Mus musculus: one gene and its partners. The protein of the gene in region 6 interacts with the protein of the main gene of each other region in a pairwise test. Links are inferred from orthologs where the notes say so. Each region holds a gene or a part of one and is shown on either strand. Other genes may lie near its edges. The genes, in order: Tcea2, Ilf2, Tle5, Atpaf2, Bag5, Trim27 and Trim32.

Region 1 (4,245 bases), on a different chromosome or scaffold from region 6:
AAGGCCAGCCTGGCCTACAGAGTGAGGCCAGGAGTTCCAGAATGGCCAGGATTACACAGAAAACACTTGTCAGGGGGCATAGTGGACAATCCTACCTCTTTGTCATCACCAGGGGGCAACTTACATGTCAGAAAGAAGCCACTCCTCTACCCTGAGATTCCCAGAGCACTCCATACCTGTTCCTACATCACAACAGGGGCTTTTTACTGCTCCTGCCATAGGGCAGGAATAGAGGCAAACAGCTCAACAGTGCTCTCCTCAAAGATCAGGGGGTTTCTCATCCTGCATCTACGGTGATCTCCAGACATCATGGTAACTAACCACAGGAGGACACTGAACAAACTACTAGAGAAAATAAATGCCCCAACTCCTGCTCAACACGGAAGGACATTCACGGGTATAGCACGGGTTCTTTAACCTTGGTCCATCTGTGCTGTGGTGGGAGAGCAGCCTCTCCTCAAAGCGCCTACCCATCAGGGCAGCACTACTCCTGGGTACTGTAACAGACAACCCTGGCTGCCTTCCTCTGCCCTGGCTTTTCCCCAGCATCTACAGGCAGGCTGCACCTCCAGAGTAGGCAGGCTCTTCCTGTTCCTACCTTAAAAGCCTCTACCTAAACTCTCAGGAATCTCTACTCCAGCCACAGATTTGCAAAGTAACAGCACCATAGCCAACAAGGTTTATCAGAGGCACAATTATTGCTAATTGAAAACTACCAAACCTGGTGACACAGGCCTTATCATCTCAGAGATACTTAGGAGGCTGGGGCAAGAGGATCAAAAGTTCAAAGCTTACCTGAGTTTCAGAGTGAATTCAAGATTAGCATGGGCATCTTAATGAGACCTTGTCTTAAAACAAAGTAAAGAGAGGGCTGTGTAGACACAGCTGTGATAAAGCTCTCACTTGGTAAGTTAAGGCCCTGGGTTCAATACCCACTATCAAAGGGGTGGGCAGGTGAGTTGACTCAGCAGATAAAGGTGCCAACAAGCTGTACAACCTAAGTTCAATCTCCAGAGCCCAAATGGTGGGAGGAGATAACCAATTTCCAGGGGTTGTCCTCATACTTACACACTCACCGAGATAACAAATGTAAAATAAATAAAATTAAATATACAAAGGGAAGTTTTTCTTAAAGCCAGCACCTACAAATCCCATAGTCTCACTTTTTATCTCTTTTCCAGACTGGTCACCACCCTCCTCCTAGGTACTGTAACAGAAAACCCTGATTTTCTTCCTCTGCCTAAGCTCTGTTCTTTGAACCTCAAGGGTAGGCAGGCTCCTCTGGTTCCTACCTTAAACCTCACTCTGCTTAAGGCTGCTCTTCTCTTTACCACTTCCAGGTTATATTCAAACACCTCCTTCCTACAACTGAGACAGCCTTTTCTTCTAACACCCAACACTATTGTGTTTGCTGTCCTCCAAGTTTCCACTATGAGCTCATTTGTCTTTATATGCCACAAAGAGGCAGAGAAAACCAACCCATCCAGCCGTGGTAGGGGCTGGGGCTGACCCTTCAATCTGTGTGACTTATCTGCTCAGGCTGCAGCCTTGTTTCATGGCCCTAAGTTAGTAAGCTGTACACCAATCAGCCCTGAGGTGGCTGACTTTGCTAAGAAGACCTGATCCTTGGAGCCAGGGGCATGCATCCACAATAGCCCTGCACTCCCATAATGAAAACCCAGATAAACCATCAGCTGTTCCAAGGAGCCTCTCTCAAGGACTACTGGAACCTCTGCAGGTTCCCTTCTCAACTGTACAGTCCTATCTGTGGCCTTCCATCCTTACTGGGTCTCCCTTTGGATTCCCATCCTATCTCTGCCACCCTTAGTTCCAAGTTTGTCATTTGTGCTTTCTCTTACCGGAAAGAAGCTCCAGCAGGGCCTCTGTAGCCCAGATGATTGCAAAGTGGGTTCTGTTTCCAGTGTAAAGGCTTATGTGGGCACTTAACCTACTTCCTGTTTTAGACCCCAGCCCTCCAACCCCTAGAGCAATCCTGCTCATCCCCAAAAGCTGTCCTGCAGCCTTCTACTTCAAGCACAGTCCTGGGGAGGCTGTACAGACTCATGACTCAGCCACTATCTGGGCTGCCCTCAGAGCGGTGCTGCGGATGCTCTAGAGTCACTCAGTCTTAAAGCCACCTCCTAAGTCCCTTCCCACCCACGGAAGGCAAGATTGCAGGTGCCATCATCCCCTAAGGATGCTCCTCAAAGGCTACGCAGGTGACCATGGTCGGAAGGCAGGCTGGACTGCCAAGCCCACACTGGCCAGGGGTCTCAACGCCACAGGCTCAACTGTCTGCCCAAACCGACTTGCTGTTGCCTGAGGCCTGACTAAGCAGGGGAAAAATTTATTAAGAGAAACCTGGTGCTGAAGGGTGGGGGGCAGACAGGGGAGACAACGGCTGGGCCAGGGACGCCCGCGGCCACCGCTGGGCGACGAACAGAGGGTAGCTTTCGGTCAACGCGGCGTCCATTGCGAAGCGGCAGTCCCAGGACAGGGTGGAGGGCGGGCCTGGGCAAGGGGTCTCGACTGACTGGGCTAGGTATCACTCTGCCCGAGGGTAGGCTCAGACGGTCTCCGCGGAGCGGGGCCCCAGGGTCCTGGCGGCCCGCGCCCCTCACCGCGTTCTTCCTGGTCACCATTTTGTCCAGCCTCCGGGCGATACGAGCAATCTCTTCCTCCTTGCCCATCACTACCTCGGTGGCGGCGGGTTGTGCCGGTTGCGCCGCCCGGCCTGACCTCGGCCGCCGCCGCCGCCTAGATCCGCGGTCCAAACCTCCGCCTGGCGGCCGCGTGCGACAGAATTAAAAAAAAAAAAAAAAAAAAAGAGTCCCCGCCCCCGGGACCACAACTCCCAGACGACTGCGCGGCCTGCGGCCTGCGGCCTGATTGCCCGCTGGAAAAGGTAGTTCCGCAGGTATCTCCGCCGGACCACGGCCCCACGTGCCCACCGAATGCCAGGGGGAGGGAGGACCTAGAGGAGGGAGAAGGACAACCCTACTGCGCTCAGGTCTTTAATTCAACCCATCTGAGCAGCTTGCCCTGGCGGCCGGTCGCGCCTTCACTAGTGCACTTAGATCGCCTCCACTTCCGAGAGTCACTCAGCTCACTCCACACACTTCACTTGGTACCAAGCCGAGTTTGGGGGCTTTCTTGGCGCTGCGCAGGTGGCCGGGACTCTGAAACGGTTTCTCCGCAAGAATTCAGGCTTTAGCCAAGCAATGTAGGCTCATGCCTTTTTAATCCCTGCACTCGAGAGATAGAGAGTCAAGCAGATCCCTGTGAGTTCAAGGTCAGCCTGGTCTACAGAGCTAGTTCCAATACATTCAGGGTTACACAGAGAAACCCTGTCTCGGGGGTGGGGGGTGGGAGTGGGGAGAACTATTCAGGTTCTGAAGTCAACCTAACGGTATAAACCCCAAGTTCTGCACATTGTTGTACGTCTCAGTCTCCCAACCTGTGAAGTGACAATGACAGAGGCTGCGATCAGGAGCCTCCGATTCATATTTTACACTGAGAACAGGGCAGGGTACTGAGGCAATCCGCTACTGAGGCATTACCTCAGGAAGACCCTAACCACGTCCAGGAAAGGGAGAATGGTGCTCTGCTCTTCTTCTGTCCTATACATGGTGGCAGGTGTGCTGGTACTAAAAGTCAATCTGAATTTTTTTGTACCCAGGAGGCCAGAGTGCAAATGACATACACAAATGACCTAAGCTGACCGTTTTAATCAGTTATGACATCTTTACCATAAGAAAAAGGCATGGAACTTCTTGAAGGCAACAAAGCTTTTCCAGAGGTGCAGTGATGGCTGAACCCAGCTCTCTAGTTTCATACCACCTCTCATTCTGCCCTTTACTGAGAGCTGGGCCCTTGCTCTAAGCTAAACCCAACAACAACAACAAAAATTCTGGGAAAGGGAACCCTGTGTTTGAGTACTGAATTAATGCTTTCAGGACCCTACCACAAGACAGGCAGTAAGAGAACCACAGGACCTTCAGCCATGCTGTGTTTGGCTGATGACTTGACCCCATCAAGGGACTGCCTACTGAGTAGTCCCAGCTCTGACTGGTCCCAATGATGAGCAACAGCAGCCTGTAGGTGGCAGGAGCCACCCACAGATCTGCTCAAGAACAGGCTCTTTCCTGAGGAAAATCCAGTAGATCACCAGCAGGGGAGCTATGTCACAAGAAGCCAGATCAAAGGTGTGTTCAATCCTGAGGGGTCCTTACTTGTGGGGTTGGT
Region 2 (3,500 bases), on a different chromosome or scaffold from region 6:
TTTATTTCATGTATGTGAATACACCATTGCTGTCTTCAGACACACCAGAAGGCAGCACTGGATCCCATTACAGATGGCTGTGAGACGCCATGTGGCAGCTGGGATTTGAACTCAGGACCTCTGGAAGAGCAGTCAGTGCTCTTAACCGCTGAGCCCGATTTCCTCTATTAGTAAACAACTTAGCATCTCTATTTCTACCCCACAGACTGAAGCTTACTCAACTAGAATGAACACTCTTACCAGTGTAATAAAAGCCTGGACAGAATTTGAATGACTCAGAATAAGAATTCTCGGGTATACACATCTTTTTTTCTTTCTCTTTTTTGGTTTTCTTTTGTTTTCGTTTTTTGAGACAGGGTTTCCCTGTGTAAAGGTAACCTCGATCTCAGATATCTGGCTGCCTCTGCCTTCCACGTGCTGGGACTAAAGGTGTACGTCACTATTACCTTACACATGTACACCAACAACAACAACAAACAAACAGACTGGTATGATGGTGTACACCTTTAATAACAACACTCAGAACATAGAGACAAGCAGATCTCTGCAAGCTGGAAGACAACTAGGGCTACATAGTGAGACCTTGTTTCAAAACAAACAAACAATAAGTAAATAATATATTTGCTATTTTCCTTCCATACATTCACACACAAATAATGACGAAATAAACAAATGAATCTGGGCTTCAATTATTACTAGCCTTAAATCTAATCTCAATGCTTAGGAAAGTGGGCTGGGGTGGCTGGAGAAATGCCTCAGGTTAAGAGTGCTTGTTCCTCTTGTAGAGGACCTGGGTTCAGTTCCCAACATCCATTTGATGGTTCATAATCATCTGTAACTCCAGTTCCAGGAAATCCAAAGCCCTCTTCTAACCTCCATAAGCCCAAGGCCATGCACATGGTATGCATACATATACATATACATATACATATACATATACATATACATATACATATACATATACATATACATATACATATACATACATACATACACCCTTAACAGTAATAGAAATAAATCCATTAAAATCTTTGAAAGAAAGAAAAGAAAAAGAGTGGGCTGAGACTCCTGCTAACCTCTGACCTACACTGACCTGACTGCTATGGCCACTACATATTCAGTAACAAACTCAAAACCTTGAGGAGCCCTGTGCTTTCAGGCATACCATGACAAGCTAGCATGCCCAAGGCCCTGTGCACCATCTCCAACGCAGAAAGATAAGAGATACACTTACATGTTGGCAGGATCTTTAGTATTACCACCAGGTCAGCCACATTGTGTCCTGTAGTCATTGTTCCCTTTTTATATGATCCTACCTGCCGGACTTCTTCAATTTGCTGTTGAAAGGGATTTCAAGTAAGTTTAAGAAAATAAAGGTGTTGAGTCCTCATAGAACCATTTCAGCTGCTTCTAAATACCCAGATTTGGAAGCAGCAATGATAAAATCACATCCCCCAGATAACCACAGAGAGCCCTGGGCATGGCTAGCTGACCAGTGATTTCTCTGTACTTTTCCATTTTAGGCTTTAATTTGGATAACAGACAACTGAAAGATTAACAGGCAAGAGCCAAGTAAATTTCCATACCACCAGAGATACCCTTTCTTAGAATTAAGTCATCAAAAACTCACCACTTCAAATGTTCCTGGGGCCACAATCAAGTTGTCAATCACATTGTTGATTTTTGTCACCAAAGAAAGGATGGAAGCCTGAAAACATCACAAAGCAAAAATACCCTAAGCCAAAAATTACACACAATATATATTTAATGTCATCATCATCACCAGACTCCCCACATACAATAAGAAGGAAGATGAATAATTACACACCCAGAGGAGTTTGGGCTCTGACAGCATTCTTGATGGGAATCAAACCTAAGGGCCTCAAGTGATTACCACTGGCTTATAATCGCAGGCAAGACAGCACTCTCCTTAACCAGAATAGGGTAGAGCGTAACTCGAGGCTTTTGACACAGCCCAAGGAAAGCACATACCTGCTCAGCAGAATTAGGGGCAAGGTCTTGATTCCTCTTCAGCAAGGCTTCACTGAAGGAGGTCTCATCAGGTGCTGGCTTGACCCGGGGAAAAGCCATTTCACACTAGACCAGAAATCAAATCATGTTATTTATCAAAAATAATTCATAGAAGAGGGACTAAAGAGCTGGCTCAGCGGTTTAAGAGCATTGCCTCCTCTTCCAGAGGTCCTGAGTTCAATTCTGAGTAACCACATGGTAGCTCACAACCATCTGTAATGGGATCCGATTCCTTCTTCTGGTGTGTAGATGTATGTGCAGACAGGGCACTGATATACATAAGCTACATACATAAATCTTTTAAAAAAAGGATCTCTGTGAGTTATTTGAGGCTAGCCTGGTCTACGGAGTAAGTTCCAGGACAGCCAGAACTAAGTACAGAAACCCTGTCTTGGGAAGAAAAAAAAAAATTGAGAAAGAAAATACATAAGATTTTTTTTTTTGATACTACAATAGGAAAAGAAAATTGTTATATCCTTGTAATCCCAACCCTTTGAAGAAAGAGACAGGAGAACTAGCAGTTCAAAACCAGCTTCATGAGATCTGGTCTCAAAAATATATAAACAGGACCCAGTGAGATAGCTTGGCAACAAAGGCCTAAGTCATCAATTCTGGGACCCACACAGAAAACTAAATCCTACAAGTTGTCCTCTGATCCATCACCACACACTTGCTGTGGTGTACATGTAGTACTGACTGTAATAAAAAGAACTTCTTAAATATAGAGGGACTAAAGAGATGGCTCAGACTGCTTTTGTAGAGGACCCAGGTTCAATTCCCAGTGCCCACATGGCAGCTCACAGCTCTCTGTAATTTCACTTCCAGAGGATCTAACACCCTCACACAGATTATATATGCATATGTATATAATATATAGTACATATATACATATAGAAAGAGGCAAAACACCAATGTATATAAAAGTATATCATTTTAAAATAATGAAAATAATAATAATAGAGGCTGGAGGGATGACTTAGCAGTTAAAAGCACTGGCTGTTCTTAAAGGGCCCAGGTTCAGTTCCCAGCACCCACATGGGTCTCACAACCACCAGTTAACTACAGTTCCAAGGAATCTAACTCCCTCTTCAGCTTCCTCTGGTACTAGGCATGTGTGTGGTACACATACATGCAGACACACACACATAAATCTTTAGAATTAAAAAAACAAAACAAAAAAAAAACGGGCCAGAGAGATGGCTCAGCAGTTAAGAGCACTGACTGCTCTTCCAGAGAACCTGAGTTTAATTCCCAGCAACCACATGGTGGCTCACAACTATCTGTAATCGGATCTGATGCCCTCTTCTGGTGTGTCTGAAGAGAGCAATGATGTACTCATATATATATATATATTTTTTTTTTTGGTTTTTCGAGACAGGGTTTCTCTGTATAGCCCTGACTGTCCAGGAACTCACTCTGTAAACCAGGCTGGCCTCGAATTCAGAAATCCACCTGCCTCTGCCTCCCAA
Region 3 (2,214 bases), on a different chromosome or scaffold from region 6:
CTCTCCACCTCACAGTACTATGAGATGTCCTACGGATTGAACATCGAGATGCACAAACAGGTAAGTCTCACTGTCCTCCTCCATGTCCTCAATGCCCTGTGATTCCCAGACTGAGCGTTAAGGCCACTCCCGTTACCCCCTCCCACCCCTCCAAGTGCCCCAGGTACTGAGGGAAAATCGTGTGTTCCAGGCGGAAATTGTGAAGAGGCTGAATGGGATTTGCGCCCAGGTTCTGCCCTATTTGTCACAGGAGGTAAGCAAGCCACCAGCAGGGGGCAGTGGGGTCCCCTCCGCACCTTGCTGAGCACTCCCTGGGCACGCACCTGCCCTTTCTGAGCTTAGCAAAGGTGAGACGTGGAGCAGCTGCACTCAGACCCCTGTGGCAAGGCAGAAAGAGCTCCCTGGGTGGGCGGGCACAGGCGATGGGAGCCCCCCCCCAGCTCTAAGGAAATTCCTGTGAAGTTGGATTCCTAGTCTCCCACCCCAGCAGCCCCTGAGCCCCTAGGACAGGACTTCTCTTGCGCTTTTGCACTGGTTGCCTACTGCACAGGAGTCGCCATTCCCCCGCCCCCGCCCCTCAGTCCCTTTCCAGCTTTGCCTGAGAGAACTCTGTCCCCTCCCTTGCCTATTCCAGCATCAGCAGCAGGTCCTGGGAGCCATCGAGAGAGCCAAGCAGGTCACGGCTCCTGAGCTGAACTCCATCATCCGAGTAAGTCGGAGCCTCTGGTGGACTGGGGACTGACTTGACCTGGGTGGCCAGGGTCAGGTGACAAGACCCTGGGCTGACTCTGTCACCCCCACCCCCACCCCACAGCAGCAGCTCCAGGCTCACCAGCTGTCCCAGCTGCAGGCGCTGGCCCTGCCCCTGACACCGCTGCCTGTCGGGCTCCAGCCACCGTCCCTCCCTGCAGTCAGTGCAGGCACAGGCCTGCTGTCACTCTCTGCTCTGGGTTCTCAGACCCACCTCTCCAAGGAGGACAAGAACGGACACGATGGGGACACCCACCAGGAGGATGACGGAGAGAAGTCGGATTAGCTCTTGGGGAAGGGGGAGGGGGGAGACCAGGGGAGACAGGCACAGAGAGCGCAGTGTTCTAAGGGCCACACAGCACACAGCTCTGTCACTACCCAAGCTTACACCTCCAGTCCTGGTTCTGGCTGTGCACCCTGGGCCTAGGGGACGCCAGAGGGACACCCCAGGCTAAGGGTTCTTCCCCACCTTCAACATTTCCCTGGGCCACAGCCACCAATCTCGGCCCAGAATGTACACAACGCTAGCTGCCCCTTTCCACCCTGTGCACCCCGAATCTGCCCCTATCCCCTTCTCTGCTTCCTGCACTGCACACCTGCTAGTCCCAGACCCCTCCCCCCAGCTCCCCCAGCTCCGGTTCCCTCAACCACAAAAGAAGGGGACAGAGAGAAAGCATTGGCTCGGGACTGCAGTGGGGGTGGGCACCCCACAAACTTCCCTCCCCTCTTCCCCAAATAAACGTGAGGGTTAAAAGTTGGTTTGTTTATGATTTCTTTCTTGTGCCAGTATTCTATAGCTATCATCTCAGAAAGGAAAAGAAGGAAGCCCCAGGAGTGTCTGTCATAGGGTTAGCTTTGTTGGTCGCCTTGGTCTCTGTCCAGAGGTCAAAGGCCAAGCCGCTGTACTGAGGATGGGGTCTAGCTGTGCCTTCAAAATAAAAACATGAAAAGGTTGGCCACTGTGTCCCTGCTTCTGTCTTGTGGGTGGGGACCCCTTTCCTCAGGGCACCCCGTGTCCTGCAATAAGACATCCCTGGAGCAACCAAAGACCCAGAGAGGGTGAGCTGGGGACCTGGGCCCAGACAGTGCAACTCAGTGCTCAGATTTCACACTGTTTTGGCAGGGTGGCTGTGGTACCCACATGGGTCCCTTGGTTACCTTCTGGGAGATGGCCTGGATGCTCCCTGTACCCCTCCCAAGCTAGGCTGTCCCCTGGGCATGCGCCTCGGTTTGGGGACCTTTTCCTTTCTTGTTTTTCTGAAACAGGGTTTTCTCTGTATAGCCCTGAATGCCCTGGACTCATTCCTCAAACTCACAGAAATTTTCCAGCCTCTGTTTTCCAAGGCCAGGGATTAGTCTTGTGTGCCACCTGTTTTCTTTATCTGCTTTGTTTTCTGTTTTGTTTTTCTGTTTGCTGGTTTATCATGTCTGTGTCCTGTTTGAGGACGCCTTGCAGGGATCTGT
Region 4 (3,455 bases), on a different chromosome or scaffold from region 6:
GACCCATTGGCCAACCCCCAGCAGCACATCTGGCCCTCAATGTGTTCATGTATTAGCATCCCTGTCATTACAAGTGGCAATAATCAGGGGCCAGTCTCTCCCAATTCTGAATTCTCCCCTGTGTCTGTATTTGCTTGTTGGAGAGTGATAGTAAAGGAACATCAGAGAAACAGCTGAATGATTGCGCAGTACTGGGCCTGCTGGCCCTATTACTCAGAGGCTTGGAGTCACCCCCCACCCCCAGGGATTGCTTGGCATGCTAGCATAGGTACTCTGAAAAGAAGGGAGTAGGAAAGCCTACTCTGTTTTTGCTAGGGAACAGTGGCTTGCAGGGAACAGAGTTCATTCTGCCTCCCTTTGGTAAAGAAGGCTTCTTAAAAACTATACAGGGTTCCAACAAATAAACAAAGGCAGTTGGACCAAGTTCTACCTGCCTCCACTCTTCAGGTCCAGGATTGGGTAGGGAGGAAAGGCTTCCTGCTCTGCTCTCAGCAGCTCAGCTTCTCTGCATTCTCCTCTGCTTACAAACTAGCTTTCTGTGGTGCCCTAGGGTTCCCATCCATGAGACTGTGCAAGTTAGCGCCTATCAACTGACCCTTCTGTGTCTTTATCAAAATGATTCTGTGGTGATCCCCTTGGGAAAAGGAGCCACTCCAGGAGGTGGCTAGGCTCTTGAGGTCAGCAGGCATTTGGTCCTTGGTCAGGAGCAGGGGCTGTCACTGAACTTGTAGCACAGCACTGTGTCCAGTGGGTATGGATCCCATTTTTATTGCAGGTCTGCTTTTGAGTAGCACTAACATGGGCTAGTTTGGACCTGTCAAGTACTTGGGAACTGGAAGGTAGTGGATTGCAACTCAAGCTACAGTAAAAGTCCCTGGAGGGCATGTGGGAACATGACCAGAACCCCAGAGGTTCTGCTTGTCATCAGTGTGGGATTTATCTAAGAAAGTGTCCAGGTAGTGAGCTTCTGAAGGGAGGCTAGAGCTGGTGCTACTGGCCCAAGTGGTTCCTTTACCCCTTGGCTACACTCTGAGCACCATGGCTTTATGGGACAAGACTTAGGAAGCTGGGTTGTTGGTGTAAAGTTTTTGCTTTTGCCCTTTGCATTTTCCTTTTCTGTCCCTCAATGAAGGACTTGTACTTTTTTATTAATGAAGGTGGTTTTTACAATGAATTAGCTACAGGGTGGAAGAGCCAGAGACATTAGTGGAACTTCAGAAGAACGAATGGGATCCCGTCATAGAGTGGGCTGAGAAAAGGTAAGGTGTGCAGCCCCACATGGAGCGTTGAATAGACCTAGGATTGGGTTGGGTGCTGGGGTCAGGGCCACACAGTACAGCTGCAATCTCAGGCTGCCTTCCTGAGCTTAAGCTCCCTCAGGTATTGAGAGGTAGGGGTTACCTTGTTAAACACGTTCCTCAAAATCATTTTGGTCAGGCTGGAGAGATGGCTCAGCGGTTAAGAGCACTGACTGCTCTTCCAGAGGTCCTGAGTTCAGTTCCCAGCAACCACATGGTGGCTCACAACCATCTGTAAAGGGATCCGATGCCCTCTTCTGGTGCTGTCTGATGTCAGCTACAGTTTACTCATATACATGAGATAAATAAACTAAAAAAAAATCATTTTGGTCATTGTGTCCCAAATAACTGCTACTGGGGCATACCATGACAAATGCAGGGGCAGCTCTAAGTCCCCAAGAAGCACCAAAGGCCCCAGCTCTCTCCCCCAGCAGGTCTCTGAGCCTTGGTTTGTTTGACTTGCAATGGACTAATCCAGCCTGCCTGCAAGGCTAATTGGGGAAGGTAAACCAGCAAAGAAAGCACTTAGCACTCAACTCAGCAGAGGTAACAACTCAAATTTTGGTTTTTAAAAAACTTTTTCATTATTATTATCTGTATTATCATTGCTGCACTACTAAGTAAACGTGACTATGTAAGATACACGTGTGCATAGACAGAGGTCAGGGTAGCTTCCTGCAGCATTGTGAACACTATTTGTGGATGTGTGGCTTCTAGAGATTGATAGTACTCAACGCTTTCCTTAACACAAGGCTCCAGTAAGTACAGAGTTGAACAGATGTTGATAAGGTAGCAAAATAAATTCAGCGTCAGCTCTTTCCAGGTGGAATGGGAAGGGGTAGTCCCCACGGCTCTGCCTTGTCTGCAGGGTTGTGGAATAAATACCTAGGTGATTTTCCTTCTGTTGTAACAATTTTCACAGAACTTATCACTTGTTATACATTTCCTGAGTCCTCACAATGACCCAGGCATCCTGTGAGGGACTATTTTCATTTGTTTGTTTGTTTTGATTCTTTGAAATAAGGTCTCACATAATCCAGGCACACTGGCCTTCTGCCCGTGATCATCCTGCCTCAGCCTTCTGAGTGCTGTGATCATAGGTGTGCACCTCCATGCACTGCCATCCTGAGGAAAGCACATGCGCCATATCTGTTGGTTTGGTTTGGTTTTTTGCTTCTGGTTAAAAGTTAGACTGCTTTTGGGGAACAGTGTGCCAGAGACATGCTCATGCCTTCCCCTTATAGGTACGGTATGGAGATCGGCTCCTCCACCAGCATAATGGGACCCAGCATCCCTACCCAGACCCGAGAGGTGCTTACCAGCCACTTGTCCTCTTACAACATGTGGGCTCTGCAAGGTACAGTTTGGGCTTCATGGGCCTAGAGGGTTGGGTACCTAGTGACACATCCCTCTTGAGTCCTCTTGAGCATGGAGGCTGGGTGGCTTTGATGTCCTACCCCTTTACTTAGTTCTCCAGGGTCACATAGCCTCCAAGAAAAGTCTGGACTTCGTGTATCATTAGTTTAGACCCATATAGCCATCTTTTAACCAATCATGGAGTGGGGCCTGGGGGATATGCCAATTAGCCCCGTTCAGGTCATATACTTATCCAAGAAAAGGCAGAGGTGAGTTACCCCAAGACAAGGAGGAGTATTCTGTCAGGAGAGTGTGTCAAGCTCAGGTGGGTCTTAGGATGGTGCCTCCTACCCCCTGTCCATGAGGGAATAGAAACTGACAGGCAGTAGGCTATCAGTTCTGACTGGGCTTGTGTCCCCTACCCCTAGGGATTGAGTTTGTAGTGGCCCAGCTCAAATCCATGTTGCTGACTTTGGGCCTGATTGACTTGCGCCTGACTGTGGAACAAGCTGTGCTTCTGTCACGCCTGGAGGAAGAGTACCAGGTAAGTTCTGATCTCAGTTCCCACCTTAACCCTTTCTGATTCAGATTCATTGAATTTTATTACTTTGTACATGTAAAAAAAAAAATCAAACTAAGGAACAGTAAAGATTGCTCAGGCTAAGGGTATGGCTCACTATATGCTAGAGTATGCTAGCCTAGTATGCTCTGGGCCCTGGGTTCCATCATCAGCACCACACACACACATACCCATGCATGTGAAAGGGTTCAGAGTTGTTCAGTACTCTCCTCGCCCCCCAA
Region 5 (4,128 bases), on a different chromosome or scaffold from region 6:
TGCCAGGAAACTGAGCCAGAGGCCAGGGTCCTAAGGCAACAAATCTAAACTGGAGTAGTCAGAACTTCAAAGCTAAAAGTGTGCAAGGAGACACAGCATAGCAGAGATGAAAATTTTCACAGCAAGCACATTTTGCAATTCTTAATTTTCTCCATCTCTCTTCTCTCTCCTCATCCCTCCTTCCCTCTCTTCATTATTGCTTAAACCAAGCTCTCTAGTCTCTATCACTAGCTTAGTGGTCATTGAAGTGTTAGTAGCCACTGATTAATGTTTTACCTCCAGCCTTAGCGTTTTCATATGACTGATAGACTCTAAACCTAGGCCTTTTTTTTTTTTTCCCGAGACAGGGTTTCTCTGTGTAGCCCTGTCCTGGAACTCACTCTGTAGACCAGGCTAGCCTCAAACTCAGAAATCTGCCTGCCTCTGCCTCCCGAGTGCTGGGATTAAGGCGTGGGCCACCACGCCTGGCAACCTAGGCCTTCCTTAAGCAAAGCATTCTGTTGCAAAGAAGTGCAACTGAGGGCTGGTGAGATGGCTCAGTGGGTAAGGGCACCTGACTGCTCTTTGGAAGGTCCAGAGTTCAAATCCCAGCAACCACATGGTAGTTCACAGCCATCCGTAACGAGATGTGAACTCCCTTTTCTGGAGTGTCTGAAGGCAGCTACAGTGTACTTACATATAATAAATAAATAAATCTTAAAAAAAAAAAAAAAAGAAGTGCAACTGACTAAAAAAAAAAAGCTTTATTTAGTTTTATATATGTGAGTGCATTGTTACTGTCTTCGGTGTTCCTAACAGCTGAACCATCTCTCCAGCCCAGCAATTGTTTTTTTGAAAAAGGCTTCACGCCCATTCTTGCTGCAGACCTGCACTGTGGATCTCTGACATCGCGTGCACGTTTACAAACAATGCGAAGTCTACAGAAGTGGGATGATGAAGTCAGCCACGGCTTTAAGTCGAACACTAATCTTAACGATGCGAAAATGAGAAAGAACACCCTTCAAGAGCTGTGTTAATACAAATGGGAATTAACTCGGGGATAAGCAAGGCTCGCGCTCTCCACAGCGGATCCCGGGCAGTGATCATCAGTCCGTCGGAGAGGTGCAGGCGGCGTGGGTTTGCTCGGCGGCCTTCCTCCCTGCCAGCGCCCCCGGCGTCCCGCTTACCCGGCTGGACGCCGCATCCCTGTGATCCGTAGGGCGCTCACGGGCCAACCTAACGCCGCCGCCGCCGGAGAAGGACCGGCAGAGAAGCCGGCGAAGCGCTCTGCTTCCGGGCCGCAAAGCCGCCATGGCCCGCGCGTACGGCAGGATCGCGACAGTGGAAAGGTTGGCGTTACGGCGGCGTCGCAAAGCCCGAGCCGACGCGCGGCGAGGCCGACCGTGCGCATTCCCTGGGACGGACGCCGGGCGGCGGGGCCCGCGCGGGACGAGGAGAGGACAAGTTTTCCCCGGGCTCACTGCTGACGGGCCCGCTCTGCGAGGACGGCGACAACGCTGCGGAAGTGTAGGTGGCGGGGCGCGATGGCGCGTGCGGCCCAGGTGAGCGTGGGGCGAGGGCGCGAGCTCCGTTCTCCCGGCCTCGGGCGCTCCGCCGCCCTCGCTGCGCAGGCCCGCGCCCGCCGCGCGCCCATTGTGAGGTCAGGCGGCGGCGCGTCCGGCCGGGCCGAGACCCGGGAGCGGCCGCCGCGGCCAGTAGCTGCCGCCGCCTCCGCCGGCCCCTTCACCGGCTGCCCGGGTCAGACCTAGCCGGGAAGGGCGAGGGGGGATGCCGCTGGGGGCACCGCTGCGGTGCCGCTCCCCGTGAAGGGCCGATCTCCCACCTCGCAGCCCCCCGCGGCAGCCAAGACCGCCGCCGCCCAGACCTCCCGGGGTAAAAGCTCTGCGAGGGCCGGGCTTGGACCCTCCCGGGGACTGAGTTCTGTGGCCTGCCCGCCAGAAGTGAGCTGTTTGACAGAAACCTGAGAGCGTGGGAAATGCTCTAAGCGCACATACCGGGAGGCGAGTGACCGAGTTAATCGCAGTCGGCAGGTTTGGGCGGCGGGTATTTGAAGTCAGGGTGAGGATTTGGAAGTTTCGTAGCTCCTCTTTCAGAAAAGTAGAAAGTTAGCTAGCTGTCTGGACGAATGGTGCTCCTGTGAGTGTGGAAGAGCTACTGTTAACTTCCAAACTGGTTCCAGAGAGTAGATTAGGATGGGGGGGGGGGGGATCTAAGGAAATTGTGTTGCTAACCTGGTGGGTTGACTAGAATGGCAGTGTACGCAGCTCGCTCTCATGGTTTAAGACAGAATTCATAGGCCTAGACATCCACCCAGGCTGGATCATGAGGACCTTCTGTCTGTCGTTCAAATCCCTACCGTGTTCCCCTATTTCCGTTTTGCTTTGAATTCTTAGGGTCACCAAGTAGCCCATGGTGATCTTGAATTCGTAGTTCCCTTTCCTCTGTATCCCCGACGCTAGGATTGTAGGGATACACCAGCACACCGGTGAGCTTGCTTTGTTTTGTTCCTGTCCAGCTGTTTTCAGGAGAGGGAGTTGACATGTCACATCTTCCCTTTCCTCAAGCAACCTTTTACACCTTTGACGAAACCTTTTGTGTATTTTGGTGCATGCCCAGGTGCCAGAGTTTGGCCTCCCTGCCCGCCCACCATCATTTCCTTGGTGTCCTTTGACTTTGGCTTTTGAAGTGGGGCTTCCCATGGTCCTGAAGGTCCTCGGTTAGGCTAACCTGGGCTGGCCAGTGAATCACGAGATCCATCTATCGCCGTCTCCCCGGCACTGGCTTGCCTGGCTTTTCTGTTTTACTTCATGGGCGTTGGCGCTTCGCCTGCATGGATGTCTGTGCATCACTGTGTGCCTGGTGCCTCTGAAGACAGAAAGGGAATCAGATGCCCTGGGACTGGGGTTACCTGTGTGGTCATGCACTGTCATGTGAGTGCTGGTAATCAAACCCAGGTCCTCTAGCCAGCACCTTTAACCACTGAGCCCTCTCTCCAGCTCCGCCCCAGCTTTTTTTTTTCCACATGTGTTCTGGAATTCCAGCTTGGACACTTGATGAAAAATTATCTCCACAGCCCGAATGAGCCCTTTTAACAAGTGTACTAAGAAGGAGTGTTTAGAGTGGGTTCTTGTCCTGCAGAGACTAATACGTTATCATTCTTGCTATCTTTCAGTGCTTGTGAAACTGAACACAGAAGTATGGATATGGGAAACCAACACCCCTCCATTAGTAGGCTTCAGGAGATCCAGCGGGAAGTAAAGGCTATAGAGCCGCAAGTGGTCGGCTTCAGCGGCCTGTCGGATGACAAGAACTACAAGAGGCTGGAGAGGATTCTGACCAAACAACTTTTTGAAATTGACTCTGTGGATACGGAAGGAAAAGGAGATATCCAGCAAGCTAGGAAGCGGGCGGCACAGGAGACAGAACGTCTCCTCAAGGAGTTGGAGCAGAATGCCAACCACCCACACCGCATCGAAATCCAGAATATCTTTAAGGAGGCTCAGGCCCTTGTGAAAGACAAGATTGTGCCCTTTTACAGCGGAGGCAACTGTGTGACTGACGAGTTTGAGGAAGGCATCCAGGACATCATTCTGAGGCTGACGCACGTGAAGACCGGAGGGAAGGTCTCCTTGCGGAAAGCCAGGTACCGCACGCTCACCAAGATCTGCGCGGTACAGGAGGTTATTGAGGACTGTATGAAGAAGCAGCCGTCCCTGCCACTGTCTGAGGATGTGCATCCTTCAGTGGCCAAAATCAACTCTGTCATGTGCGAGGTGAACAAGGCCAGAGGGACGCTGATCGCACTTCTGATGGGCGTGGACAGTTCCGAGACTTGCAGGCACTTATCCTGCGTGCTGTCAGGACTGATTGCTGACTTAGATGCTCTAGATGTGTGTGGGCGTACAGAGATCAGAAATTATCGGAGGGAGGTGGTGGAAGATATCAACAAATTACTGAAATACCTAGACTTAGAAGAGGAAGCTGACAGTACACATGCATTTGACCTGGGACAGAACCATTCCATTATAAAAATAGAAAATGTTCTCAAGAGGATGAGAGAGATAAAAAATGAACTTCTCCAGGCGCAGAGCCCTCCTGAGTTGTACCTGAGGGCCAAGACAGAGCTGC
Region 6 (2,646 bases):
AAATGTCTGTTTTTGACAGAAAGTCTAAAACAGTTCACAGGTAATATGAGGAAGAGAGTGGGTTTATATTCTGAGTGTGTTGTTATCATTGTCATCTGAGGATGGATTTTCTAACCAGTTAAGAGTCATATAAACCGAATCTCTTCTTTTTTTGTTTTTAGAAAAGATGCAGTCAGATATGGAGAAGATCCAAGGTAAATTTACCTATTTCCTGAGCTCTTGACATTTTAAGTTTCTTGGAAAGAAGCGAGTATATAGACAGTCCAGGGGGTGTCAACAAGATAGCTCAGTAAGTGCAGTCACTTACTGGGCAAACCTGTCGACCTGAGTCTGCTACTTGGAACCTATACAAAGGTATAAGGAAAGAACAGAATCCACGTGTGTAATGACATTTGTGATCGCACACGCACACACACGCACACGTTATTCATGTGCTTCCCTACCTGACACCGTTGCTTTAGTTTGGGTTTGGTTGAGACAGTCATAATGTGTAGCCCAGTCTAGCCTATTACTCACCGGTCTCCTGCCTCAGACCTTCTGCCTCTGGGGTTACAGGTGTGGCGCCATATCCACAGCTACGTTTAGTTCGGTGGCTAGTAACCAGAAGTGGCTTTCCTTGATCTGATTCTTCTTTCTCTTCCTCTTCCTTTGCCACTTCAAAGACTTGTGTGAAATCCTTGGCCAGCTAGAAACCCCACATAAATTAATGATGGCAGTGGGTGTCATTTGAGCCACCCAGCCTCTACAGCAAAGATGGTTCGTACAAGTTAAGAGTTATATATATTATATGTCATGCATTTGAACTTTGCCTTTGCAGAATCCAGTGGCTCTCTGGAGGGTGGAATTCTTGATCTTGGCTCAGTGTGATACCATGTTTTACAAAGTTCATACATGTTATCTGTATAGCCAAGGTTCCCAAACCCCTAACCCTAAAAATCCTTGCATGTGCAAAGCATAGTGGTGCATGCCTGTAAACCTAGTACCTCACAGCTCATCAGCAGTGACTGCCATGAGTTTGAAGCCAGCCTGGCCATACAGTGAGTTTCAGGTCAGCCTGAGTTACATAGTAAGACTGTCTTTCTAAAAGAGAAAAAAAAATTCCTGGGCAGATAAGCAGATATGGAGTCATAACATCAAATGAAAATCAGTACCCAATTGACACAGGCGTTCTGCAATGCTAGTGGGTTCCACTGCTTTATGGTTTGTTTTTTGTTTTTTGTTTTTTCACTTAACATGTTTCCTAGAAAGACACACAGGTTCAGTAACTTCTTTTCTCTCTTGTCTTTCAGAGTTGAGAGAGGCTCAGTTATACTCAGGTAGGTACCTGAAGACAAACCATGTTGAAGAAAGGATTAAAAGCCCTATGAGCCTGACCACTATTATAAGTGCTTTGAGACAGCCTCAAGTTTGAATCCTTTAGTTGCATATACACAGATATCATACAGCCAGAAGCCCAGTAGTTGGGAACATGAGGCAGGGACATCAGGAGTTTAAGGCCATTTTTTTGCTACTTAGTTAATCCACATAGATTTCTGTTTCAAAAAAGATAAAGGGAAAAACTTAAAAGAGTGGATGTTCAAGGCAAATTCTCAGAACAAATACAAGAATGATTTGAAAGGTGGTAATATTAAACTTTAGCTAAAACTATTGGCCACCAAAGTTTTCAAATTCAGAAATTAGACATATGTAAAGAAGCTTTAAATGAAATCTCCGAAGGAGGTTGAGCCTTAGATGTGAGAAAAGGAGTGGGAAGTAAAATTGTATTACTTTCATTGTTATCCATACAGAGGCAATCAGCTAATCTAACCGTAAATTTTTAGGTTCTGAGTCAGGGTCTTACTATGTAACACTGACCATGCAACATGGGCTGGTCTGGAACTCCTGAAGATAACTTCTGCCTCAGTCTCCACGTGTGCCACCATGCTTAGTTCCAAGAGAATTTTTTTACATAATCAGTTCACCGTGTGTCTGATATATAATGAGTACAGCCTCTGGTGGGCATCTCCTACAGTGTTCTGGGGAAGTCAGTGAAATACCAGGTAGTCTTGAGTGGGCTCTTCTGGCCCTCAGATGACACCCCCCCCCCTTTGTTTCTACAGTTGATGTAACCCTGGACCCAGACACAGCCTATCCCAGTCTGATTCTTTCTGATAATCTTCGGCAAGTACGGTACAGTTACCTCCAGCAGGATCTTCCAGACAACCCTGAGCGATTCAATCTGTTTCCCTGTGTCTTGGGCTCTCCATGTTTCATCGCTGGGAGACATTACTGGGAGGTAGAGGTGGGAGATAAAGCCAAGTGGACCATAGGTGTCTGTGAAGACTCGGTGTGCAGAAAAGGTGGGGTGACCTCAGCCCCCCAGAATGGATTCTGGGCAGTGTCATTGTGGTATGGGAAAGAATATTGGGCTCTTACATCCCCAATGACTGCACTACCCCTGCGGACCCCTCTCCAGAGAGTAGGGATTTTCTTGGACTATGATGCTGGTGAGGTTTCCTTCTACAATGTGACAGAGAGATGCCATACCTTTACTTTCTCTCACGCTACCTTCTGTGGGCCAGTCCGGCCCTACTTCAGCCTAAGCTACTCGGGAGGGAAGAGCGCAGCTCCTTTGATCATCTGCCCTATGAGTGGGATTGATGGGTT
Region 7 (4,109 bases), on a different chromosome or scaffold from region 6:
TTTACCTTATAGTCAGAAGATTGTTAGGCCAGAGTCATAGGTTGTTAATAAATGGCCATTAAGAGAACTAAAGCTAGCCCAAGATAAATTGACTATGTGTCTACAATATGTTTTATCCTTTCCCAGTTCTAGGTATTTGGTCAGTCCATAGAATTGCCAGCACAGATATAATTTCTTCAAGGAACTTTGAGTCACATATTCTCTGGGAAAGCCTTGGGAGTTCTGGGTGCCTGGGTTGGCTCAGGGCTCTAGAATTATCTGAGATATCAAATTGTACTCAGAATGTATAATCAGGAAATCCGGCCAGGGATAAAATCATGTGAGAACTCCTGAATCACTGAGAAGAGAAACAAGTTGGAGAATGAATAGCCTGGTTCAGAGTTCCATCAAAATCGATGCCAGGTGTATACCGAACCTTGGACAAGATGTGTGGGACAGGGGCGGGAGTGAGGTGGGGGAAGGGGATAAATTTACTTTTCCCACCTTTCTGAGTTATTAGTAACTCATCAAAACAATCCTTAACTTTATTTTGAGATAAAGAAGTAGAAAAATGAAGTTAAGAGTGATTCTGGGAAATTAAAGCCAGGTTCTGACAGGTAGAAACTGGTTACTTTGCCTTTTAACCCCTAGGTCTCAGCTTCTTTTCAAAGTCTGTAGTCTGTCGGAAAGTGTCTAAAGGTATTACTGTTTTTGTTTTGTTGTCTTATCATTGTGCAGAGGGTACACAGCTAGGTGGAATTTCAAATATGAGAGCATAATATTTCAGATTCCTTCATATTCCTCACTAGTACTGTGTGTTTATCGCATTCAGGAGCAGGTATTACCTGTCCACAAACTACCTTCAGGACCAGGAGGTCCTGGCCACAAAACCTCCCGTCTGACAAGGCTCAATGCAGGCTTTTCCCTGTTTCTCCCTCTGCTATCCGCCTCTGCGCTGTTTGGCAAAGAAAACGTCTTTCCTAAGGGGCATGTGTTCAGTGACTCCACTTTGGGATGTGTCACAGGCAGAAACACCTAGCCCGGGGACCTGCAGCTCTTTGAAGGGAGTGTGCTTGTCTTCTTCAAAGAGGCGTCTGTCTGCAAAGTGCCCGAACTTTCTGGAGACTACTACTGGGGGATTAGCATTGACTAACCATGTTTAGACTCTGAAACGGGGCAGAAAGCTGCAATGGCCTAGGTTTCCGGAGCCATCCCTATCTATTCAGCTGGGCCGCGGGCGCTGAGCCCACAGACCTACAAGCCCCAGCATGCCTCGGGAGGCGGGGCAAGTTGACGGGCAGGCGACTGTACGAATTGGCGACTGCCATGGGAAGGACGTGCTAGCGCATGCGCAGAAGGCAGCGGGCGGGTGGGCTGGCAGCGGTGGACTCGCGTCGGAGCTGCGGGCGGTCAGGTAGGGGGCGGGAAGGAGGGTCTGCGACCAGGGACTGTGGTGGGTCGCGGGGATCCAAGATTGAATGGCAGGATTTGGGGACTGGATCGGAGTGGCAGGATCGGATTCGGAAGGGACGGGCTCAGGAGCGATTCGGCGGAGATGAGATGCAGCTGGGGGAGGGGAGCAAAGGGGCTGAGGAAATTTGCAGTTGCAGCATGTCGGGAGGTATGAGGTAATGTGGGGGCCATGCGGAGAGACGGGGTGCAGCATGTGGGAGATGGGAGGATCTGACGTCCCTGGAGGTATCTGGGTGCAGAATATCAGAAAGCATAAAGGAATTTGGCAGGCCTGGATGAGGTTGGGTGTTGGCGGGCAGAATCTTAGGGGCTTTGAGGAGATCGGTGTAATGATAGCAAGATCTGAGATCAAAACAGCCAAGGTCTTGGAAGATCCTAATTGCTGAAGAGAAAGGGATTTCTGTAGCGGAATCTGGGAAAGACTGAGGGGTGAGTTCCCGAGGGAATCAGTACCCAGTTAGAAAATCGCAGCAAAGGTTTGAAGGCAACACGTGAGGCAGGACGGGGGCGGAGGTGGGGGGCGGGGGTTGGAGGTGGCCCAGTACAAGATGGGGATGATGGGCAGATGAGCGATCAGATTGAAGGAGGGCAGAAATCTGAGGTACAGGATTGGAGTTTGGAGATGGCATACAGGGGTGATAGATGTGGGAATTTGAAAATAGATTAAAGGATGTATTGGAGGGATGAGGGACACATAAGAGCTATTGGTGAATTGCAAGGCTGCAGCATACAGTCTAAAAGGTTGAATGATAGATTTGGGATTTAGCGTTGAGAATGAGGTTTGTGGAGAATGAATGGTGGGGAGTGAATGCTGTAACTAGATTATAGAATTCAAAACCAAATGAAATTTGTGAGTAGGTTCTTAGGAGGTTTTTGTTTGTTTTTGTTTTTGTTTTGGTCTTGGCATAACTGAACCCAGAGGGTCTTCTGGAGACCCAGGGACCTGAAAGTAATTTATAAATAAACTATGTATAAATGAATGGAATTTAGGAGAATGTAAGGGTTTGGGAATAAAGACACCAGTCTTCAGAAATCCTGAAGGAGAGTTTGACATTCTTTGAAGGGCAGATTCTTCCTCACTTACTAACTAAAGGCCCTTTAATCCTGAGGCAGGCATGTATTCTGACTATACCCACTCTGACCACCCCCACCTCCTCATCACAGACCCGATATTATAGGCCTTGGGGAAGAAGCAGTGAACTACCTAAGGGCTTCTGCTACCTAGCCTTTTCCCTGTCCAAGGTATGAGCCAAAATGATCTTCAACCTAATATTATCTTATAGGAGGTCCATTATAGCTCACAGAGACAATGGTTCTGGGTGAGAAACAAAACAAGGTTGGAACAAGGCGGAGCCTCCTGTCTACTGAGTATTTAGCCTGTGCCATTACCTAAAGCCAGGGTTCTCAGACAGGGTGCTTTTGTTCTGCCAGGAAACATTTGACCGTGTCTGGATGGAGGCATTGTCAGTTGTCATAGTTGAGGGGTTGTGTGTGTGTGGGGGGGGGGATACTTGGGGGGGGGGATACTGGTTTCTAGTGAACAACCCCTACAATAAACTATCATTTAGCTAGAAATGGCAGTCATGCCAAAATGGGTCCTGGCATCAGAGTCAAGAATGCTCTGGTTAGATCCTGGCATTATTTATTTATTTATTTGTTTATTTATTTATTTATTTATTTTTCTCTTTCTGCTTTGTAACCTTTAAAGAGTCAATTGACCTCTCAGTGCACAAGCTCTTCAGGGACCTACGTCATAGAATGGCTGTGAGGACTCAGTGTACTAAATCAGGGTGCTTACTGTTTGGTGCCCAGTAAAAGTGCTCAGAATTTACTACTTTTGAAAATATGTGTGCTTTCTTCTCATGATATTCCTTCTAAATATACATTCACTGTTCAGTGTTACCCACGAAACTAAGGCTTAGGAGGTCACTTGTCTAAAGCCACATTCCTGCCATGTAGCTCCCCGCCACATCCTCTCTTCCATTGCTGGTTTGCTGCGGTCGGCTTGGTCTTCCCTTTGCAGCCTCTCCTAAGGAAAGGGAGGCTTGCCCCGTAGTCAGAAGCTGGGTGACTTCTCTTGATTAAGAGAAGCCCTGGACTTTGTTCTTGCTTTGCTCTTAGACCAGAGCCAATGGGGAGATAGTGCAAGGAGCTTGGAGCTACACGGCTGAGATAAGGAGGGCTCAGGCTCAAGGGCAGTGCTAGACGGAAGGAAACTGCTCTGAATGTTCTCCTTTGTGCATCTTGTCTCTGGCACAGAAGGGCAGCATTGTCTTTATCAACTCCAATCCTAGCTACGCTACAGAAGGCAGTTTAGAGAACAAAATTAGACTGGAGCTGAGGGCAGAACACTTAGCTGCGATGACATCAACTCAGATCGCTTAGGAAAACACCTGACGGAGGTTGAGTTGGCCGTGGAATCGGCTGTTTTACTGCTTGCTTGGTGGTCAAGCACTTGCCAGCCTCTGTCTGAAAACACAGCGAGCTCGGCTGAGTGCTGATTAATGTGCATTCTCTCCATAAGGCCCACAATCTAAATGTTACTCCTGATTCTACAAGGCAGAAAGTGAAGAGCCACTTGTTAAATGACATATCCTGGGTTACAGAGCAAGTGGCTAATTTGGGCATATAAATCAGAAGTCACATGCTGGCAAGCC

What was found.
Region 1: the proteins of Trim27 (region 6) and Tcea2 interact in binary tests that used the Homo sapiens proteins (3 or more experiments, as listed by UniProt). The two-hybrid records come from large-scale screens. The link is inferred for Mus musculus from reciprocal best matches to the Homo sapiens genes TRIM27 and TCEA2.
Region 2: the proteins of Trim27 (region 6) and Ilf2 interact in binary tests that used the Homo sapiens proteins (3 or more experiments, as listed by UniProt). The two-hybrid records come from large-scale screens. The link is inferred for Mus musculus from reciprocal best matches to the Homo sapiens genes TRIM27 and ILF2.
Region 3: the proteins of Trim27 (region 6) and Tle5 interact in binary tests that used the Homo sapiens proteins (3 or more experiments, as listed by UniProt). The two-hybrid records come from large-scale screens. The link is inferred for Mus musculus from reciprocal best matches to the Homo sapiens genes TRIM27 and TLE5.
Region 4: the proteins of Trim27 (region 6) and Atpaf2 interact in binary tests that used the Homo sapiens proteins (3 or more experiments, as listed by UniProt). The two-hybrid records come from large-scale screens. The link is inferred for Mus musculus from reciprocal best matches to the Homo sapiens genes TRIM27 and ATPAF2.
Region 5: the proteins of Trim27 (region 6) and Bag5 interact in binary tests that used the Homo sapiens proteins (3 or more experiments, as listed by UniProt). The two-hybrid records come from large-scale screens. The link is inferred for Mus musculus from reciprocal best matches to the Homo sapiens genes TRIM27 and BAG5.
Region 7: the proteins of Trim27 (region 6) and Trim32 interact in a two-hybrid assay, tested with the Homo sapiens proteins (2 studies listed by BioGRID and IntAct). The link is inferred for Mus musculus from reciprocal best matches to the Homo sapiens genes TRIM27 and TRIM32.

The regions. Positions count from the first base shown.
Region 1 is NC_000068.7:181,678,852-181,683,096, reverse strand, and holds the start of Tcea2 (transcription elongation factor A protein 2), read right to left. Parts: upstream 2,801-4,245; 5' UTR 2,691-2,800; coding exon 2,622-2,690; exon of another isoform or gene 1,860-2,621; intron 1-1,859. UniProt on the Homo sapiens protein: Necessary for efficient RNA polymerase II transcription elongation past template-encoded arresting sites.
Region 2 is NC_000069.6:90,479,201-90,482,700, reverse strand, and holds part of Ilf2 (interleukin enhancer-binding factor 2), read right to left. Parts: intron 2,098-3,500; coding exon 1,993-2,097; intron 1,709-1,992; coding exon 1,631-1,708; intron 1,338-1,630; coding exon 1,235-1,337; intron 1-1,234. UniProt on the Homo sapiens protein: Chromatin-interacting protein that forms a stable heterodimer with interleukin enhancer-binding factor 3/ILF3 and plays a role in several biological processes including transcription, innate immunity or cell growth.
Region 3 is NC_000076.6:81,564,658-81,566,871, forward strand, and holds the end of Tle5 (TLE family member 5), read left to right. Parts: intron 1-15; coding exon 16-60; intron 61-155; exon of another isoform or gene 156-190; coding exon 191-253; intron 254-634; coding exon 635-709; intron 710-814; coding exon 815-1,036; 3' UTR 1,037-1,714; downstream 1,715-2,214. UniProt on the Homo sapiens protein: Transcriptional corepressor. Acts as a dominant repressor towards other family members. Inhibits NF-kappa-B-regulated gene expression. May be required for the initiation and maintenance of the differentiated state.
Region 4 is NC_000077.6:60,403,580-60,407,034, reverse strand, and holds part of Atpaf2 (ATP synthase mitochondrial F1 complex assembly factor 2), read left to right. Parts: intron 1-1,157; exon of another isoform or gene 1,158-1,178; coding exon 1,179-1,259; intron 1,260-2,542; coding exon 2,543-2,655; intron 2,656-3,082; coding exon 3,083-3,198; intron 3,199-3,455. UniProt on the Homo sapiens protein: Plays a role in the assembly of the F1 component of the mitochondrial ATP synthase (ATPase).
Region 5 is NC_000078.6:111,710,457-111,714,584, reverse strand, and holds the start of Bag5 (BAG family molecular chaperone regulator 5), read left to right. Parts: upstream 1-1,328; 5' UTR 1,329-1,541; exon of another isoform or gene 1,542-2,058; intron 2,059-3,172; 5' UTR 3,173-3,197; coding exon 3,198-4,128. Other genes in the region: Coa8 (cytochrome c oxidase assembly factor 8), read right to left, coding at 1,167-1,292. UniProt on the Homo sapiens protein: Co-chaperone for HSP/HSP70 proteins. It functions as a nucleotide-exchange factor promoting the release of ADP from HSP70, thereby activating HSP70-mediated protein refolding.
Region 6 is NC_000079.6:21,189,931-21,192,576, forward strand, and holds part of Trim27 (zinc finger protein RFP), read left to right. Parts: coding exon 1-40; intron 41-161; coding exon 162-194; intron 195-662; exon of another isoform or gene 663-756; intron 757-1,289; coding exon 1,290-1,316; intron 1,317-2,099; coding exon 2,100-2,646. UniProt on the Homo sapiens protein: E3 ubiquitin-protein ligase that mediates ubiquitination of various substrates and thereby plays a role in diffent processes including proliferation, innate immunity, apoptosis, immune response or autophagy.
Region 7 is NC_000070.6:65,603,677-65,607,785, forward strand, and holds the start of Trim32 (E3 ubiquitin-protein ligase TRIM32), read left to right. Parts: upstream 1-1,309; 5' UTR 1,310-1,393; exon of another isoform or gene 1,394-1,607; intron 1,608-1,639; exon of another isoform or gene 1,640-1,881; intron 1,882-4,109. UniProt on the Homo sapiens protein: E3 ubiquitin ligase that plays a role in various biological processes including neural stem cell differentiation, innate immunity, inflammatory resonse and autophagy.